Linked DNA regions of Arabidopsis thaliana. The protein of the gene in region 2 interacts with the protein of the main gene of each other region in a pairwise test. Each region holds a gene or a part of one and is shown on either strand. Other genes may lie near its edges.

Region 1 (3,759 bases), on a different chromosome or scaffold from region 2:
ATATATAAGACAAAACATAATCGTCGTATTATCTCATTTAAAGACTTTATTTTTTATTCGCTAAAAAAAAGCATTTAAAATCACCTCCAAATTTTATTTTAGCGATTTTGTTCTTGATATTGAATTGTGTATATATATCAACAAAACGAATTGAAGTGTTGTTTTGGACGAGTGTATATATATCTACTTTATTAAAGAAAATTGTTTGTAGAAGACAACATCACCTGCAATGCTTTATAATTCTAGTGTTCTTGTTTTTCTTTTACAGGGATTAATTTCCAAAACTTTTCTTTCGTTCGCCAGTTTAGTTTCTTTTATTTGGAATTTTGTATTTTACTTTGGTTCCTATAGGCTACGCGTAACATTGGCACATACTACTTTTTCATGTATGTAAGTAATTTCTGTAAAAGGCTACATTAAAGTCAATACTCTCCGTTTTGGGTTTCAGTGAAATCTAAAAAATGTCAATTTTACTTTTGAAGTTGCAACTTTCAGATAGCAACAAGAGCGAACGAGACAAATGCCTCAGGTTTCAGTGTACAGCTCCACTAAATGGTTTTCGGGTGCTATTATTTGTTTCATATAAATACATAAATACTACTCCATTTTTTCTAATTTAATGAGTAGTATTAACAAAAAAAAGAGTTATAGATAATGCTAAGTCTAAAGACCGGGGTAAATTCAAGGTAATACAAGTCAACAACTAAAAAAAACTAATTAAGGTAGTGAATTGAGTTCACGCAATTAAATAAACTAGTTAAACGAGTAATTTGGACGAGGGTGAAGTTGCTACATGATCATAGTGGAGTTTAATTTACAAAAGAATAGGATAACAAAACTATATATATATATATATATATAACGTAGTGTCAAATAAATTAATTAGTGTGTTATTTTCAAATATACCCATAAAATCCTTTTATTTTCTAAAGAAAACACAAAATAAATAATCGAATTTAAGTATGATTTTTATCCATTATTTTTGCCAAATAGAGGGTTCTTTACTGCATATATTCCTTAAATAAAGGAAAGAGGTGACTATTATCCTAATTTCTTAAGTAAGAATGCGATTGTGAAAGTTTTGATATATCCAACTTTACAAAAAAAGAAAAAAAAGCATTGCATGTGATGAGAATCCATCTCCCCCATCCTCCCACCCATTCTTTCCAACTCAACCATCTCCTTTCTCTTCCTATTAATAAAGTATCATCTTCTTTTTGTTTCTCTTTTTATTTTTTAATGAAAAATAAAACTTTTAAAAAAATTTGTATTTACTTCAATTTTCTTACAGTTCCACTTGGATAGACAAATGCCCTTTAATGAGATGGTGGTGGACTTTAAGTATATGTTATACGCACAACACACACACACACACACACTTTTATAGACATGTTTTTTAATAAAGAAAATTCTTTCGAACATATTCCAGATCTCTAATTTTTCTTTTGTTTGAGATGTTATATAGAATTGGTCTCAGCTGACACTCAAAAACCAGATCTGACTCTAGGGTTTTGTGTTTGTTTTTTGTTTTTCTTGTAAGAAAAACTATATATTGGAAATTTTCTGATTCGTCTCACTTGTGGGCACAGTATTCATATTTGATTAAAACCTATTTCTTATATAAAAAGGCATGAGATGATGGCACCACATTGTATATTTGTATATATACGGAAACATAAATTGGGTATATGCATGTGTCTTATATTCAAAACAAATATTCTCAAGTCCCTTCCCTTTTTAATTTACACCAGCCCTATAGCTAAAGGCTACACATATATACATTTGTCACCATTAAAAAACATGTACTGTTAAACATCAAATTTCCAAGATTCCGTTTATATTTTTCACCTATCCTTTTTTTTATTTATCTTTGAAAAACAAAACTTACTCACTCTGATCGAATATTTTATGATATGAAATAATAATGACTTGTAATTGTTGTGTAGTGGAAGGGGATGTTTTTTTGTTTCTTGTCCTGATGCTAATGTGGGCTCCAAGCTCCTTGTCCCACTCTCTTTATATGTATAAACATCTCTCTCCATAGATATGTTTTGTGTTTGTAAACAAACAGTGTACAGATAGAGAAGAGAGAGGTTCATAACTACTCTGAAGAAGATTGAAGCACCAAAGACCATACAATGCATTTCTCCATCTAAGGTGAGAGGTCAATGAAACAATTAACAAAAAGTTGAAAGTTTCATTTATTTTTTTCTTTTCCAAGAAAATTATAAAAAGTTGGATAGTAAAAGGGAACAGAAAAGCTATTATCCCTTTATGTGAGAAAAAAAATAAAGATGATTTCAGAAAAACAAAGCCCTTTGTTTCTCTCTCTTAACTCATCTTATACTTTCTTCTTCTATTAGTAAAGATGAGTACTCTCTCTACCAAATAAATAAGGAAACATAAAAAACAATCTCTCCTTCTTTCTCTACATGAAAAACAAAAGATTCCTCAATTTTGTTCTTATTTTTCATTTAGTCACAGTACCTCTCTCACTATAAACCACACTGTCTTGAGATAAAATACAAAAAGAGAAGAGATTAAAAACCTCATCCGATGATAGACTACGAGAGAAGCAATACCACCAAGAACATCAACACCCATCATCACAACCCTCCTCCATCTTCATCTTCCTCTGATCTTCTTCCCGACGGTAATGGAACCGCCGTGACTCAGAAGCGGAAACGGAGACCCGCCGGGACACCGGGTATTTAACAATTTTCTTATCAAGAATTACTAGTTGTTAGATTCTATATCCGGAAAGTTATCAAATAGTTCTGTTAAAGATTTTGATTTATCCGGTGGCAGATCCGGAGGCGGAGGTGGTATCTTTATCACCAAGAACGTTACTAGAATCGGATCGGTACGTATGTGAGATCTGTAACCAAGGGTTTCAAAGGGACCAGAATCTACAGATGCATAGAAGACGACATAAAGTTCCATGGAAGCTTCTTAAAAGAGAGACCAACGAGGAAGTGAGGAAAAGAGTCTACGTCTGTCCGGAGCCGACATGTCTCCACCACAACCCTTGCCACGCGCTCGGAGATCTCGTGGGAATCAAGAAACACTTCCGACGGAAACATAGTAACCACAAGCAATGGATCTGCGAGCGATGCTCAAAAGGCTACGCAGTTCAATCTGATTACAAAGCTCATCTCAAAACCTGTGGCACTCGCGGCCACTCCTGTGACTGCGGCCGAGTTTTTTCCAGGTTCCATTCCTTAGTAACAAACCCTAGCTTTTTAATTTTTATTTTTATTATATATTTAGGATATATATTTATCGGAATCCTTAAAGTAAATCAAAGAATGTTTTTTCTAGTATGGCGTGTCCATGTTTTGATTTTTAGATAACGCACATAGATCTTGAAACAACGTTTACTAATGGAACCTGATGAGGTTTGTTTGGATGTACTGTTGTCTGAAAATACTTTTAATTAATTTAATAATTAGGAACTATGTTTTGATTACTCACGTTGACCCCATAATAGATTTCATTATCAAACTTTGTTAAGTATATACCATACTAAACCTCGAAGTCTTGCATATCTCATACTCAAATATATAATCCAAAAGATACCTAACTCCACTAACTTAATTATTTATATTATCTGTCACGAGATACAAATATTCCTTTGTGCTTTCCATTTTAGTTTAACTTATATAATACACTCTTATTTCTCAGAGTGGAAAGTTTCATAGAGCACCAAGACACTTGCACCGTACGCCGATCCCAACCCTCCAACCACCGTTTACATGA
Region 2 (3,759 bases):
CACTGCATTACACATAAACAACATACGTACAAGACACATATCAACTTGTGTTATAACCCGACAAAATTCTTTACTCCTAATTTCAGCTATACCTACATATATGACTGTTTAATATATATACAACTAATACAAGAGCAACTATACGCATAGATAAAATCAAACCCTAGTTTCTGCCGGCAATCTAAACCAAGTTGTGATGTTAGTAGTATCAATGGCTTAAATTCTTTAGTAAAGGAAAACAAAGAATACTTAAAACGCATCACTTCTAACTAGAATTTTCAGCGTTTAAAAAAATAATTTTTTTATTGAACTAGAGATAAATATGGATTATCAAGGACTCTTTTGATTATTAAAATTTGATTCAACCAATGGATAACAGTTTAATATAAATTTTTGGGATGTGAGAAATAAGGTTCTTACATTCTTGGCAGCAGCACTAAAGGCTTCTCTGTGGCTTATATCAGGATTACCAGCTTTGATACGTTGGATCTCCTCCCTAAAATAAAAACGTGACAAGGAATTATATTAATGTTACACAGTTATGGTTAGAATATGAATGATTGTAAAAATTAAATAAGAGACTCACTTGATGAATCGGTTATATGCGGATGGGACTCTCTGTCTTTTCTCTGGAGCTGGCAATGGCGAAATTCAACGGCAAAGACAAAGCGAAAAAACAAAAACTCAGACAGAAAGAGACAAACACTCATTAAAACTACTTTCATTGTCTTTTTTCTCTCTCACACAAATACTTTCTCTCTCTAACCCATCATCACTTCATCATGTTTTTTTAAAGACAAGCCCATCTTCTAACATATTACATAGATTTTTTCTCTTTAGCTAGATTTCCGGGGGATCCATGAATCTATCTCCCCGTTTCTTTTATCGTCACTATTTTAATGTTTACCAACGCTAAAAGCCATCTAGGATATGTAGACAATCAACACATACTAAAGTTCATGGATCAATGAATATTTTAAATATACAAAATCATAATCTCTCATGTCTCCTTCTAGTATACAAAGAAAAGAAAGGTAAAAAATCTCCTTCTAGACTTAATTCAATGGTGCTAGGGTTTGAACGAGATCCAGTGAAAGTTAAATAAGAAAAGCTATGCATGTCTTAATGGCGATTCATCATCACAACCAAATTATAAACACGGTTAGCATAGAAGTTAATATCATAAAAGTGAGAAGAATTAGTATCTTACGGCGGTTAACGGGTGGTGCTTTAGGAATCTCATGTTGTTGATGAAGATCCATGAAAGATGGTATGTCATTCATAGTAGGATGTTGATTCATCATCATCATATTCATGTTAGACGGTGCATCTCTCAGCTCCTCCTACAATAATATTTATATCCTTGAGGCTTGAGATTACTTCCAATAAGCTAAATGAGACCCTATAAGATTATGTATTTGAATTTTGTTTAAGTACCAGAATATCCTGGGGATTGAAGTAAGAGTGAGGACCGAGCTGGAGCTGGAGCTGGTTAGAAGCTGGGAGGACATATGATCTCATGTTCACCGAAAGGAGATTGGTACAGCAACCACATCGGACAGTTACGGTCTTGAACAAGCTTGTGTAAGGAACATTAACCTATAAGCACACAAAAGAAACAATGAATTTAAAAAACCCCTAATCTTGTATAGATCAAGAAGATGAGAAGTTGGAGGAGAAAAAATGAGAGAGAAAGTATTGAAGAGAGGTTATTTTGTACCGCAAGGATGGTTTGGCAAAAGTTGCATTGGACATAGCAGAGATGGTCGGAAGGAGAGAAGTGGTCCGGTGAACAAACAGCTGAGGAAGGGGAGGACATAGACGACATAGACATCTTTTTTGTAAGAAGGGGAAAAATATTGGAAGCTGATCTTTTTTTGGGAGTGTTTGGGGATTTGATTGATTGATGGGTATTTGACTGATCAGAGGATTCTTGATAAGGAGAAAATAAAAAACCCCACCATGATCTGATCTTCTTGATTGTTGGGTTGCTGTGTATTATATACCACAAAGGAAGATATATAGAGAGAGAAGAGGTGAAAGGAGTGAGAAGGGAAAGGGGATATTAATATATTAGAGGGTAAAAATTAAACAACAAATGCTCTAATTGTAGCCTCTAGGTCGTCTACTATTAATTTCGTTAATTAATTCGGTAATACTGTGTGTATATATATAATGTGGTGTATTATACATTTCAATTCAGCGATACATATATTCTTTAAAGAAATTCTCCAATGGGTTATATACAATTTTAGGTTTTGAATAGTATAACAGAGTCAGCGGTAGTGAACCAGCAACATAAATGGAATAAGTTTGGATGGTGTAGAACAGATAACACAAACCAAATAAAAATAAATATGCCGGTGTTTAATAAGACAATAACTATTTATATAATTTTTCATTAAATCAAGTGGCCGAATAAAATTTATGATCGATAAAATAAACATACATTAGTTTTTTTAATAAGTTTCGGAACTACACCCTAAACACCATTTGAATAAGCAGTTCATTTTTTTCACAAACAGTTTTTTTTATACCTTTTCCGTATATTCTTATAAATTGTATTGCCACATAACAATTGAATTGTACCACCACTATACCGCACTCTTTGTTTTTATTTATCACAAAATGCATAATCTTGACAAGTGGATCCAGATATTAAACAAATGTTAAATTACTTTGAACATAATATTAATTGACAAAAGAATTGGACAATTTCTTTACAAATATCACTTCTTTTTTTTTGATAAAAATATACATCTCACTTAGATCTTTTTTAATTTTTAATTAGTCAAATGATGCGAGTTATTATTAAATCTTTGTTGTCAACATCCAATATAAGATTTCTTTTTGATAATGCCTATATTAGAAATTCGGTTGACCATGCGGTCTCACCCTTACTAGAAAACGTAGACATTAAGCATCTATACCGTTGTACCTCTAAGATGACCTTGTGGTCACAAGGAGACAAGACTGATGACAAAATAGTTTTGAGGATATTATCGCTTAAAGATGGACCTTTTTCTATCTGATCTCAAACAATTACAAACCTAATTTTGCAATCAATTAAATTTTGGTCTATACAATTAAAAGCACATGTTAATATATGAAAATAGCTATAGGCATTTATGTTTCTATATAAATAGAACAAGAAATTCTAACTAAAGAATCAAATTTATAGCTACTATACAAAACTTTCGACAAAAATATGAGATTGGATCAATATAGCGATGACCACTAAACTACAAACCACTTCATGATCAATTTTGAAATCTTAGGAAGAAGATATTGTAGTACTAGTATGAACAAGGGAAGATTGAGGCATACATTAGAAGATTCGCGAGCTTAGGCTTTGGGGTTGGGGTTGCACGTGATGACACATGTAATGTGTTTGCAAGTAAGTTAAGAAACGACGAAGCTCTTGAAAAAAAATTTAAGTGAAAAAAGTTTTAAAGCTTTGACAATAGAATTCGCAGTTCCCAATGGAGGAAGAGAAGAGAGGAGAGAGAGAGGGCGGCAGAGGTGGGGGGAAGAAAGGGACGTGTGCATGGGAGTGATTAAGCGTCGCCTCATTCACCCGTTGTTGTCATTCCTTAATTACCACTGCCATTACTTTTTCTCGTTTCTCTATACAATTCCTTTCCTATTTTTTTAATTTTTTTTTTAATTATTAGTATTTAATTTCAATTGAAACATACTTTGTTTTGTTTGTTTGTATCATGTATGTATATGTAGAGATAAACATGATGCTCCATTTTT

Evidence for each region. The genes of interacting proteins can lie anywhere in the genome.
Region 1: the proteins of AFO (region 2) and IDD14 interact in binary tests that used the Arabidopsis thaliana proteins (3 or more experiments, as listed by UniProt).

The regions. Positions count from the first base shown.
Region 1 is NC_003070.9:25,529,928-25,533,686, forward strand, and holds the start of IDD14 (indeterminate(ID)-domain 14), read left to right. Parts: upstream 1-2,080; 5' UTR 2,081-2,556; coding exon 2,557-2,707; exon of another isoform or gene 2,708-2,808; coding exon 2,809-3,211; intron 3,212-3,684; coding exon 3,685-3,759. UniProt on the Arabidopsis thaliana protein: Transcription factor regulating starch metabolism by binding directly to the promoter of QQS. The IDD14beta isoform attenuates the transcription factor activity by competitively forming heterodimers with reduced DNA-binding capacity.
Region 2 is NC_003071.7:18,628,719-18,632,477, forward strand, and holds the start of AFO (Plant-specific transcription factor YABBY family protein), read right to left. Parts: upstream 2,062-3,759; 5' UTR 1,835-2,061; coding exon 1,721-1,834; intron 1,711-1,720; exon of another isoform or gene 1,600-1,710; coding exon 1,438-1,599; intron 1,344-1,437; coding exon 1,211-1,343; intron 636-1,210; coding exon 587-635; intron 497-586; coding exon 421-496; intron 3-420; coding exon 1-2.